Mytilus edulis: one gene and its partner. The protein of the gene in region 2 purifies or fractionates together with the protein of the main gene of each other region. This does not show direct contact. Links are inferred from orthologs where the notes say so. Each region holds a gene or a part of one and is shown on either strand. Other genes may lie near its edges.

What was found.
Region 1: the proteins of WD repeat-containing protein 19-like (region 2) and intraflagellar transport protein 43 homolog A-like purify together in Homo sapiens (affinity purification with mass spectrometry; 3 studies listed by BioGRID and IntAct, counting the BioPlex papers as one, with this or other methods). This does not show direct contact. The link is inferred for Mytilus edulis from reciprocal best matches to the Homo sapiens genes WDR19 and IFT43.

The regions. Positions count from the first base shown.
Region 1 is NC_092346.1:63,096,119-63,103,366, forward strand, and holds the start of intraflagellar transport protein 43 homolog A-like, read right to left. Parts: upstream 3,016-7,248; 5' UTR 2,962-3,015; coding exon 2,860-2,961; intron 2,789-2,859; exon of another isoform or gene 2,684-2,788; coding exon of another isoform or gene 2,642-2,683; intron 1,448-2,641; coding exon 1,316-1,447; intron 593-1,315; coding exon 534-592; intron 1-533. Other genes in the region: uncharacterized protein, read left to right, coding at 5,451-5,627, 6,391-6,423. UniProt on the Homo sapiens protein: As a component of IFT complex A (IFT-A), a complex required for retrograde ciliary transport and entry into cilia of G protein-coupled receptors (GPCRs), it is involved in ciliogenesis.
Region 2 is NC_092351.1:26,542,603-26,549,509, reverse strand, and holds the start of WD repeat-containing protein 19-like, read right to left. Parts: upstream 3,006-6,907; 5' UTR 2,895-3,005; coding exon 2,889-2,894; intron 1-2,888. UniProt on the Homo sapiens protein: As component of the IFT complex A (IFT-A), a complex required for retrograde ciliary transport and entry into cilia of G protein-coupled receptors (GPCRs), it is involved in cilia function and/or assembly.

The DNA.
Region 1 (7,248 bases), on a different chromosome or scaffold from region 2:
CATTCTACAAATTATTTTAAATGAAAAACAAGCAATGTTTATGTATATGAAGCTAGTGAGTAAATATATAAGATGGCCTAATGATAAGACCTAAAATGTATCAGTGGCTCAAATATTTTTTGGAAGCTCTGCCCTTATGGTATTCATATTTAAGTCTTTTTTGTACATGTAAGTTTGCTGCCTCAAGTACTAATGTTATATTTTCTTCTTATCCTACAATCAGTATTTCTACAAACAAATACAAGTGCACAAATAATTAATATCATATTTGTATACGTTTTTAATGCTGCTTTTAATAGCACATGGTTATATTATATTCAAAGACAGTTTCATTTTAGTGTCATTACTGGGGTCTTGTTATTGAATTGTCAAAAATATGATACTCCTTTATGCTCACTAAGTACTAGGTGAAAAGTTCACGAAGCCTTTGCATTTTCTCCTCTCTCTTAAGTTTATGCAATTTAATATTTGCATTTTCAATCATTGTAGCTGATTACATTCAATTTAAGGCGTTAATGCTTTATATTGCTTACCTTTTACGAGGATTATCTTCACCCCATCCAGACACTCTTGAGGGCTTCGGCGGCTCATCCTGAAATATTAACAGATCTTTAAAATGGATAAGATTATTCTTTTTTGGTAGCATATATATACAATAATTGTTTCTGAACTTGTGCTAAATATTAAAACACTTACATGACTTAAAGAAATCTACAAATGTATCTTGTTTCCTAAATTTGTATATAAAACCATTCAAGAGAGTAGAAAGTATCTTTGACTTGTAAAATAATGATGATATTCAAATTATATATTCTTACTAAATTCAGGTTGCTTATAATTATGGCATGTTATAACAAGAATATGTGCCCATAGGACACTATGCACAGCTGGAGTGGCAATATCAGACAGGCACACACTTTTTTTAGATTAAGGTGTTACATGTCAACATCATTTTCAATATTTCATACATAGTAATTTGATTCAAATACAAATCTGGAGTCAATTTTTGACTTTTGATGATTTGTTAGTACTTGATTTTACCTTCTGTTTTGATAATCATTAAATCTACCAATGTTATTCACGATATAATATGTTTAAATATGTAACATGAGTGTCAGCTGAGCTTTGTCATATACATATATTAGTAGTAAAACATGAACACAGGATCTTCATTTCAATGTGACTGATAGTTATATAAATCCTTATTTTATATATGTAAATTCATTAATGTTTTGTTTTGGGGTAATTCATGTATAAAATGTGACATTTTTTTCTTTTAATGTCAAAATGTTGTCTGACTATAAAGAAAACCTACAGGTTCTTGTCTTCCAGCCGGCTGTCTTGACTTTGGTGCCTTTGGTGAGTTTTCTACGCTAGCTTCAAAATCAGGAGCATCTGGTGGATTTGCTGTTTTCTGTTGGGCTCTTCTCCCTGTTTTAGCAGTACCCTATAATCAAAATAAAATGATAAGACACATACATGACAGTAGTAATGGGGGTACCTTCATGATAAATAGTGGTAAAAGTTCTTTGGTGCATGACGATAAAATGTACACTTTTTTTGTAGACAAAATAAAAATCAACTAATTTTGACTTACAAATGTATCACATTCATTTTTTCCAAAATTGACACAAAAGATTATTATTTTTAACCTCTAACAAATTTTGATAGGGAAATTTTGACAAGTCAAGGTAAAACTTTAACCAATTTGATGCTAACGGTAGCTGCAAATGGTTGTTTGACGCCTGGCATTTCTAACGTGACGGTACCCAAATTGCACCTATTTTGACAGTTTTTTCACCTACGTTGTTTTATGATCAAGAAAAAAATGTCCATACTGGGTTTATTTTGTAGCCTTATCCTTCTTTATTGTATAGGTACACCATTTTGATTTTTAATCCATATTGAGTCATAAAAAAATGGGTTTGAATCAACCTCCAAACTATCCATGATTCTGTAATGAGGAGTACCCAAATTGCATCCATGCTTAAATTCACATCGTCAAAAGTCTAATAACCGAGCTTTTGTTTAATTTCTTCAAATATTTTGAACAATTGGATATTCGTCCATGCTTACTCCTCATATTTTACGAAATGGATACTTATAATATATTGTATTTGCTAATTTTAAAAAGATGACGTTTTGATGACGTCGCATGGTGACGTTTTCGTACATTTTGCTTTTTCAGTAAACAGTCCATCTGTTGATAAAGACTGTGAACGTTTTGTGTATATCTAAATATGTTTACCTATGTTGAAAGACGTGCATAGTATCGAATCATAAAAATACAAATTGTTTAGTCTCTAGGAAATCTTGTAAGATTTCCGTTGCAATTTTTTCTAAATAGGTGCAATTTGGGTACTCGGTGCAATTTGGGTACCCTTTCGTTACCCTCTATAGCTACATTGTAATAAAAAGGGGGCAAGGAGTATCTTGGTTTCTAACCTTCCCCCTTTCCTACTTTTTTTCCCTCTCCCTACTCTCAATTCCTTCTACTTTTACCTAAAGCCAAAATTCTAACTAAAAAAAACCTCACAGAAATGTATCAAACATGTCAAAGATATTTTTATAAATTCATGATTAGGTTATAATTTTTACGTGTAGGAAACAGTTTTTTTTGACAGGTATAACCTAAATTTACCTTAGCATTCTTTGATTCGCCAAAATCAAAATCATCTGCCATTTCTATCAGTTGTAATTTAAGTGATCAACTGAGCAATTTACAAATATTACTGCTGTCATGGAATGTGTTTATCTAAGGGAGAAAACTTAGGTTGAGAAAAGTAATTTCAAGTCGATGACGGTTTGTCTCCGGAAAATATCTTACTGTGTCATAGATGATAGATATTTATAGTTTACCTTCAATTTAAAATGTGGGAATAATAAACCTGTGTTGTTTGATACATTTGAAGCAAGAACATTAACGATCCCTGTGTTTAACACTTTAGCTGCGCTTTCCATAATAAGGCTATCAATCGTTGTCCTGGAGCATATTTAATCTCCTCATTGTTTCATTCCTTAATATTAATTGTTTCATATAAAGTGTGCACATGTTTAGTACATTTGTTTTAAATGTCATGAATAGTTTTGTTCTTATTTAAGTATGATAACACATGTGATCAATAATATAAGTGTGCTTAGTAGATAAAGTTTAAAGTAACAATATATCAGGTGCTTATATATATATTAATTTATTGCAGCCATAATACAGCCACAATACTCATTGACAAAATATTGGAAAGGGCTTATCATCGGGTAGAACATGGGAATTTCCCTAGGAACTTGTTTATCTAGTATTACAAATGGGTTACAAATGATACTTCTAGATATTCACTCGGGACAAATGTCAATGAAACAAACTGAGTCAATGTAACAAAAGCCTCAGATAGCATACTATGGAAGAATCAGAAATAAAATAAAAAATCACGGGGAAATATTGTTTTACAGAAAAATCTGTTGTTTGTTCATACTATTGACCGCTTTTCGTCATGATAAGTTTACCGTGCTCAAAGTCAATTACGCCTGGTTCTCACACTAAATTAGTTTCAAACAGGCAACAAAAATCCATACCTCACTGTAACATATGATGTATTACTCACATGATAATATTTGATGATGTATAAAGATATCGCTGGTTATTCAAATTGTCCAGTTTATCTAGAACCGTTTGCCTCTTCTGATCTCACTAAGTACTCGGCGATTATTTGTTCAAATGTCTCCTGTGATAGATTATAAGAGATACTTTAACCATACAAAAATGTGAATAAAAATGTGAATAAAAGTATGAATTAAGATGAAAATAAAGATATGATTAAATCCAGGATCCTCAACTATTAATTCTCTAAAATTACGGTAACATTAAGATTCGCGTAGTGGAATAGACATTTCTCAATTGTGGAAGACGAAATTTTGCCTTTTCACTTTGTGTTAGTTTCAGTTTAAACATATTTTAGATTGTTTAAAAATGACAATTTTACAAATGTGTTAGTGTTTGGTCTCAGTTACTTATATCCTCATTTTTATCCCATATAACACACATGTAATATATTATTAATGTTCTTCATTTGAAGTATCAATTCTACTCTTTTTTTTTGATTTTTTTTTGTTTCAATTCTTATTCTTCATTCATCTTCAGAAGTTTACAATGTTAAGACTATATATACTTAAAAACTGCAAATCACTTTGCATGTGATTAATCATTTAATTCTTTTATAATCTCAATCCACTTCAGGAAATGCTCATGCAGCGGTGTTAGACATCATCATCGATCAGTGTGCCATTTCAGATCCTGCATGACCGTATGGCCAAAATTATTGAAAAAATATTGGAGTATTTGGTTGATATTGAGACAGGAATGAAAACAATCTATATTTATTAGTACTCAAAATTATATTTGAATGTCATCGACCATTGTATAGAATGACAATGCATAATATATCAGAGCATGTAATAACCATATTTGTGAAGTACATTGTACCATCAACAACGTATAGAATGATATAACATACCTAGTGTTATAATTACCTCCTCTGAGCTTAAAACTTTACGTTATCTAATATGAATATATGCCAATCATAAATAAGCCATATAAGGTATATATTGTGTGAAGAAAAATACAATTACGTAACAGTTCAAAATTTATGATGACAACTCAATGATATGACAGACATTTCAAAATTTTGTAAAACAATTGTTCCCAAATATATTCTCTCCTAAACAGACGAATACATTAAAATACATTTCATTAATCTAAACCGCATTAACTTTATTTCAATGATCATATTTTGTTTGAGAATTATTTCTAAAATGGAATTTAACTTTAATCTGAATTCATTGTAGTTTTGGCAGCTTTAAACCTAGATGAAGCACAGACCAGATTAGCCATTGAATTAACGTTTTTCTCACTGTATGAGTATGATAAACATGCTAATAAAGAAAAGGGTTAAATAATTTAACCTTATTATCAAATATCATATGTTTTTGTGCTCAATTGTAAAATATCCCAAATGTTATCAAACTTGCTTTGTATTAACTATTGACTTTGTCTGGTGGAACCGTATCGGACTTTTAAATTTTATACTAATATACAAAATTAAAAATCAGTAACTAAATGTTAACAGACTTAATGAAATATTTTCTTAATTTATGAAGTGCACCGTTAGAGCATAAAGAAACCGAAGGGATCACACGTCTACTTAATTCAATCAAAAGTATCGTATTAATTGCATTATTCGGGTGGATTAGCGGGTCATCTCCTTGGCGACCGAAGACAATAGTATTAATTCGAAATTGGATCATTATGTCTTTGTTATTAAATTATTAAGTATGTAACAGGTGAAAATATAATCCCAATAAAATAAAGAAAAACAAACCAACATTACCGATGATGTTGTCAGATTAGGATATTGTAATCTACATTTGGGATAGTAAAGAATTCGAAACATACCAAAATGGAATCCATAGATGCAAGGAGAAATCGCTTATATGGTCCAGACAGGAATTTACGAGTGGAAGAAATCAGACGAAATTTATCTAAAAGTTGTGTTTTAAAGGAGGGAGAATATAATTTTACACCAAAAGGACTTTCCAAAAGTGTATTCGGCACCAGTTATGAAACAGATTTTCCTGTAAGTTTATAACTTATGTGCATTCATTATTTATGAAAATGTTTTGCAGGTATAGTTTTACATTGTTTAATATATATTGAATCGTCAAATTACTCAAGTTGTATATTTTGTTAATAAATATAGTTGCTTATGATCCTGTTGACAAGTTTAATCATTTTTATCATTGCGGAAAGCTTGGCCAAGTTATCAAAGTATTGAGACCCCCAAAATATATAATATCCATGACCCCGTAGGGATAAAAGGCTAACTATAGATGAGAATTAAAAAAAAATGTAACTAAGCATTGAAAAAGGAGTGAGGAATATCAATTTTTGAGGGCTATCTCCAATTTTATGTCCAATAAAAACAAACAACAGCATAGCCAAACTTTAAAACGGTAGATCAAGAGTGTTTATCAAACGGTCCTTTTATATATCTTACTATATACGGTAACCGGATGAATGTACTCACTGTCAAAGGCCCTAGAGTGGCATGTTTTTGTTAACACTCTTGTCCTATAGGTTTGCAATGGATAGTTGTCTGACTTAGTTAATCATACCATATATTTTGGACAATATGTGGACAATAATGACCATTTAATCATGCAAAAGCGGCAGTTTCAAAAATAAGATGTAACTGCTGATTTGGATGCAAGATGTTAATTACAATTTTGTTTCTATATATATATCTACATTAACACACCCCTTGATTTCATTTTTTCTTTAATTTGGGAACTGAATCTTAAATACTGAACACAGTCATCATCAATTTATGTATATTTCAGTGGAAACGAACTAATCATGATGAGAATGCTCGGGTAAAATACATTATGAGTTCATTGAGGGGTTTTCTGGTTTTGAAATTTTAGCTTCACGTTGCAATGGTGAAAGAGCACTTACGTCAGCATAGTCGATTGCACATTATGTCTGTTTATGATTACACAGTTTAGACTAAGTGATTGATATAGAATTTCAAAACTTTTTTCATTTCTTCAGTGACATTCACTAGTGATTAATTATTTTTTATTTGATATATTCATTATGGTATCTTATGTCACATTTGTTCTTATCATGTATTTGGTTAATAAAGAATTGAATTGTATTTTCATACAGGCTGTATTACATAATTTTAGATCATATCTTTTGTCAAACGTTAATAAACTTGTTTAATTAAATGGTATCTCTGATCAGGTGTCCATGACAGAACTAATTGTATTCTTTTCAAGGAGATTTAAAAATATCCTAAATTAAAAGTACTAAAAAGAATGTTACATAGGTTTTTTTTTATAACACAAGAATATCTTTTCAACACAGAGACCTAAACAATAGAAATGTATGTATACACTTTATCACCCGATGTGAAACATTTAATTAGATAAAGACACATAAAGCAGCGGCACTATGTTTTAAGTTGTGGTGTTCCATACTTTTGCCCCTTATTTTCAGGTTAATATATGCTAGTAAAAATAAAGTAGTATTTTTTTGGAATTGAAAGCGTTTTATTGGAACAATTCAGCAGAACAATTTAGAGCATGACATATTGTAAAGACATATGTCTTTTGATAAAAACTTTACATTGACTCGCATATATCTTTTTGTTCTTATTTCGATGTTTTGCTTTCTCATTGAAGTATACCTACATC
Region 2 (6,907 bases):
TTCCCAGTGACGGATGAACTCAAAAGTGGTCTATTGGGTAGCATACTTCTTGTGACCATGTGCATTGAACTGACTATGATAAAGACTCCTTTCTCAAATTATAATTTCTGTACAGTTAGCAAAAAGCTGTAATTAATTCAAACTGTAAAATCCATTCCTCTACAAAGTCGTTTCATATAATTGGATGTATGATACTATCATCAAAATGTACATATTTGCTGAAAAATAAAAATCATGGAGTTGATAAGATAGTCTTTAGTCTTTAGTATGCGTCATCTTGACACTGATTTTCTCATATGTACTTTGGTCACTTGCGCGTTTGAATACATTAATCACGTTTGTATTTTCTCTTTGTACTTTCACAAAGATAAGATAGGAAGACATCTGTATCTGTATCTGTATGTTACACAGTGCAGGATCCGATCGCGGATATATGCGCACTGGAAGGAGAGCGGGTTGGTTAGTCCAACCGTTGGAGGGCAGCCATGAAACCCTCAACTGTCTTTTGACATGCAGTTACCTCGTCCAGATGGTTCCACTCAACTATTGTTTTTGGAAAAAAAGAGTTCTTACGAATGTCTGTTTTGCAGTCTATTAATTTATACGATCTGCTATTTCTGGTTTCTTGTCTTTCCACTATGTTTGAATATTGGAAGTCACTAAAGTTTTTTGCTTTCACTTGGCGTTTATTTCTTGTCTTTTGTAGATAATCTGTTGGATCAATAGCCGGCACCAATCCCTCAACCACTTTGTAGAACATAGTCAGCCTCTGATGTTTCCTTCGCTCTTGGAGAGGTGGCAGTTTTAGCTTAGAAAGCATATTTGTGACGCATCCGGTGTCTCTGGATTTATAGTCGTGCAGAATGAATCGTGCTCCTCTTTTCTGTATGCTTTCTATTTTTTCTATTTCCCTGATGGTGAATGGGTCCCAGATGACAGCACCGTATTCTAGTACGGATCTAACCATGGCTAAGTAGGCAAGTTTTTTGCACTCTTGGGGGCACTGGCGTAAGTTTCTTCTCAGGAACCCCAGTGTACAGCTTGCCTTGCTTGTTGTTTTCCCTATGTGGCTGGTCCATTTTAGGTCATCAGATATGTTAAGACCTAGGTAAGGATTAGTTTGTACCTGTTCTAGTATGTGGTTGTCTAGTTGGTAGAAGTGTGTTGATTTTTGTTTGAAGCTCATTATATAGCATTTTTTTGCGTTGAATTTCATTCCCCAATTTAGTGCCCATACTTCCAGAGCTTTTAGATCTTCTTGGAGAGTTTGGTGGTCTTTTGTGTTTTTGATCTCTCGATAAAGTAGGCAGTCATCTGCAAATAAACGAACTTGAGATTTTACGCTTTCCGGGAGGTCGTTGATGTGGCATAGAAAAAGCAGCGGTCCTAGTACTGTGCCTTGTGGTACGCCAGAGTCTACGTGGGCATATTCTGAGTGCTCACCTTCTACGACAACCCGCATTGATCGTTTTTGCAGAAATGCTGCTAACCATTTGTTCAGATTTCCATCTATTCCGAAGCTGTTTAGTTTTGCCAGAAGTTTGTTATGTGGCACAGTATCAAAAGCCTTTGAAAAGTCGAGTATAGCCATATCAAGTTGAATGCCACTGTCGAAGCTCTTTAGTAGGTCTTCTGTTGTGACTAAGAGCTGTGTTGTACAAGAGTAACCTGATCTGAATCCATGATTTAAATTTGTCAGTATTTTGTGCTTTTCCAGATGTTTAAGGATGTGTTTACAGATGATGTGTTCCAAAAGCTTACATGATACACAGGTCAGTGAGACTGGTCTGTAATTTTCAGCTGCCTGGACGTCCCCCTTCTTAAATACTGGAGCTATGTTTGCACTTAACCAATCTTCAGGGAGAGTGCCTGTGTCAATTGATTTTTGAAAGATGGCGGATATACTTGGTGCGAGTTCTTCTGCACATGTTTTAAGGACAGTGTTTGGTATTCCGTCTGGTCCCATTGCTTTGGATGGATTTACGTTTTTCAATAATTTATGTACTCCTTCTGATGTTATGTCCAATTTTGAAATATTTGAAGTTGATCTTTTCTTTAGTGGTGGTATTTGTGAGTTCGGATCTAATTTAGTGAATACTGATTTGAATTGGTTGTTTAGAATTTCTGCCTTTTCTTTGCTGTCGTTTGTAAGGCCTCCATTTGACTTTAGTGGTGCTACTCCTATATTATCTTGTTTCTTTGCTTTCATGTAGTTCCAGAATGGTTTAGAACTATTCTTTTCAAAACCTGCATTGATGATGTCATTAATATAGTTCCATTCTGCTTTTCTAAATTGGCGTTTGCAGTCTTTTTGGAATTGTTTATATTCTTTGTAACTTCCAGTTTTTCTAGCATGTTTGTGCAACCTAGCTTTCCGTTTTAGCATTTTGCGCAGTTTTCTGTTTAACCATGGGACAGAGTGCTTTTTCTTTATCATTTTAGATGGTACGTTGGTGTCAATTGTTGCTTGTACACCGTTCTTGAAGGTTTGCCAGGTTTTATCTATTGGCATATCGTGTATATGATTATGGATGTCCTTTGTTATCATATTTATGTCTGTTTTAATCTGATCCCAGTTTGCTTTCCCATCAGATATCAGATTTTAAATAAAATTGACAAACCTTACACAAGAGCCATATATGTATTGTCAATGGTAAGGGGAGGGTTGGCATATTTAAACATTTTCATACCTTGATAAGAATTATGAAATCGGAAAATCATAAAATTTATCCAGACACAAAAATGAAAAAATTATACCAAAATGGCAAAAAAAGTCAAAATGCTCTTTTGTTTTGACCTCTTTCAGTGTCGACTTTTGGGTATATATAAATATTTTATTTTCATTGGTGCTTGACCATTAAAGTACATCAAACTGTTTAGATAGTTACCTTCATTGTGATAGCTTGTAGTTGATATTTTTCAAAGATTTGTATACATATTCACCACTGGATACAGACCGCTGTGGAATGCGGGTCGTTTTGTGCTTTCTTAGATTGGAGAATCCCATTACGGTAGATAACTCGTGATATTTGTATAACTTCCTCCATATAAGGTACACCTCCGAAATTTATAATCGTTGTCAAGCAGTAGAAAGCTCTATATAAGGATAGTGATCCGGCGGCGGCATCGTTAAATCTATCAAACAAGTTTATATTATAGAGGGTTGACGGTACCACGATTTCTCGAGGATTACAAGAACAATTATTATATCAGCAAAAAAATATTTATGTATTTAAGCTGTGATCATTCTTAATGCTCGGTTGGAAAATTTATTCAAGTCAATATGATGTTAGATGTATTAATTTCTCATATAAATATATTTATATATTATAGACCAAGGGTTTTATTATTTACAGTCTAATTGTATCGTGATTGTCATGGTATGTAAATTATATGATGTATCTATGCTAATCAATGTTCTTTTTCCTTATACTTGTATTCTCTAAATGCCCCTTGTGGGCTCTTAATTGGAAATAAAATATATCTTATCTATCTTATCTTATATCAAATGGCAAAATAGAAAGCTCAAACATATCAATCGAATTCAAAACAACTGTCATATTCCCGACTTCAGGGTACAGGCATTTTCTTATGTAGAAAATGGGGGATTGAACCTGGTTTTATAGCTAGCTTAACTTGACTCTCACTTGTATAACAGTCGCATCAAATTCCATTATATATATTGACATAGTTTCCTTCTGTCATATATCCTTCTCATACAGTCGACCCAACTTAAGTTAATCTCATACCCATAAATTTTCTACTGCACACAACCATTTCCCAGTTTCTCATGTTTTTTTTCTTCTAATTATATATGAAATCGGTCAACTATATTTGGTATGTTAAAACATTTTATTATGTATGTCAGTCTGGCAAAAATTAACAACTATAGGTCACCGTGCGGCCTTCAACAATGAACAAAGCCCATACCGCATAGTTAAGTTGGCAACACATTTTGTTATGTACCTAGTGTAAAAAGGTCATCAGTCTCTCCCATTTATAGATTGCCCATATCTTTCATAACAGTATACAGCTTCTGTAATTTATCGATGAAATGTTGTGTGTGTTCTGCCTGTTCGTGATGTCTGGTACTTTCATTGGCACTCGTGGCTTCAGATGCCGATTCATACTGAGAAACATTAACCAAGTGACACATCAATGGCACCACAATCACCTTTGATAACAACATGTGCTTGCTCATGTAATTGGCCATTATCCAACGCTGAAAATTCACAATTAGATTTGTGAAAAAATAAATTTTTCGTTATGGAATTCTGCAGCCAGCTGATGATGTGTAGGATCAAATAACTTCATGTCTCATCGTGCATTTTTTTAATTCAATTGTCAACATTAGATTCAGAATTGAAATTGTGGACTTTCAGTTTTGCGTCTTTCGAACCAGTCTACGATACTTAGCACATCCTGAGTTTGTTCACTGACCTCTGACATTAAACAGTAAGTAAACACTTATTGGCTTCTTTAAGTAGCTTGTAGAGTGTGCTTACTGTAACCTGGTTATTTACTGTGTCCAAGTGACACGTGATGCAGACAAAAAGAATTACGTTGTTCCCGAGGAAGCAATCTCTGCCTCAAACTTGGTTCCTGTTAATTCCTTAATTATCATCAAGCAGATTACCAATGGTCTTAAATGCTGCCGTTTCAACGTGCAAACCCCAAGACATAATGAATAAACTTGTCCTCGTCATAATTTTGGGTCAATGTCACTGCATTTTGTTTTGTTAATGTGTAGATTGGCTCATCAGTAGCAATAACAGATGTTTGAAATGGATTCAAATATACAACCGTGTTTTTTAATCACGTCAATGACATGCCGTAATGTGGCCGCTGAATGGACTTGGTAATAGCCGATAGGTTACAGCGATGATACACTAGTACTCACACCAAATACTGGACACCTTTTTGGAGGCATGGTCCACCGACCATGTTATATTGTCGTTTTCAACAGATGCCTCTTTTCGGTTTCTTTTCTCAAGCCCTTAATGCTCAACAGCCAAATCACTTTTGCATTTATTTTAGTTAAATTCCCAAGGGAAATTGGCTTTTGATGGAGTTGGATTCCTTTTCGTGATGAAAGTATGGTATATATGGTCAAAAGAATAAGAAAGTTCAGGAACCCTCTTAGGCAGCAACCATATGATTTTCTGGGGGGGCTATGGGTTTTTTTTCTGGACAAATTTTTTTTTTCGCCTGCGGCGAAAAACAATCTATTTTTTTCGCGACAAGTCGAAAACAATTTTTTTCTTTCAATTTTAGCATTACATATAGTGGCAGCTGAGGGTGAAACAAACAATTTTTTTTTCTCAGAATCAAAAACAAATTATTTTTTTCTCCAAAAACTGGAAACAAACTTTTTTTTCCAAAAAAAACCATAGCCCCCCCCCCCCCCCAGAAAATCAAATGGTTGCTGCCTTAATCCTGCTGTCTTTACTGTGAAATAACTCACGTTTTTCAACTGCATTGTCAGCTGATGGATGCTGGAAGAGTGAAATGCTTGTTCTATGGAAAAAAAAGTTGTTACTGTCGTTACAGTTGAATTATGATCTATGTTGCAGCTGTAGGAAACAAGCTTTTCATTAAGACTGTCGTACAAACTACTCCCATGTTTTTCTATATATTTCCTTAATGCTTCATCTTCTAGAAGGGCTTATGGCACCCAGTCATACGGAATGATAAGGCAATGTTCATGTAGCCCTTCTCAAAGAAGTCTCCTTCTAGTGTTAGACAGACATCCCTAAATAAAACACTGCAAATTGGGTTTCGTGGTCTCCTTAATGCCTGTGAGTTGCTGTTCCTTCTCTGTACATCAATTATACTGTAAAATATGAGCTATTGTTAGATCTGTCTTGTATGCACTATAGCAAAATTGTGACTTCATCTCAGATTCATTCTCAATCATTCACCATACAATCCTTAAGAAGGGTGGAGGGAATTGTACTTTCAACACATCCTTCCTGAAATGTTCTAGTAAACTCTTCTTCTCATATATGTTATGATGGTATGATACTAAACCCATAACGGGAAGGATTGTGCCTGATGTTCATATGATGAAATCATAATCTTTCAGTCAGTTTAATTGAAGTCTGGAGCTGGCATGTCAGTTAACTGCTAGTAGTCTGTTGTTATTTATGTATTATTGTCATTTTGTTTATTTTCTTTGGTTACATCTTCTGACATCAGACTCGGACTTCTCTTGAACTGAATTTTAATGTGCGTATTGTTATGCGTTTACTTTTCTACATTGTCTAGAGGTATAGGGGGAGGGTTGAGATCTCACAAACATGTTTAACCCCGCCGCATTTTTGCGCCTGTCCCAAGTCAGGAGCCTCTGGCCTTTGTTGGTCTTGTATTATTTTAATTTTAGTTTCTTGTGTACAATTTGGAATTTAGTATGCGTTCATTGTCACTGAACTAGTATATATTTGTTTAGGGGCCAGCTGAAGGACGCCTCCGGGTGCGGGAATTTTTCGCTACATTAATTGAAGACCTGTTGGTGACCTTCTGCTGTTGTTTTTTTCTATGGTCGGGTTGTTGTCTCTTTGGCACATTCCCCATTTCCATTCTCAATTTTATCTAACTTATGGTTAATCTTGTGCCAATGCAAGATCTTGGCAGCTTTGGCAATGATTCAATATCAGAGATAGATAGATGATTGTGACACGACCGCACCATTATCATTTTTAAAGCTAAAAGAACATCTCCTCCCTTCTAATGAGCTCCAAGTTCAGAAATTTCGGTGATTGGCTAGAACTGCAAGATGGAATATAAAGGATAATCATAATTTGTATTATCTGCACTATGTAGGTGAGGAGCTCTGAAAACACAGTGGATGCACTTCCCTTTAATTCTTTAGACAGTTCGCGAAACGGCATTTTTTCTATTCAATATA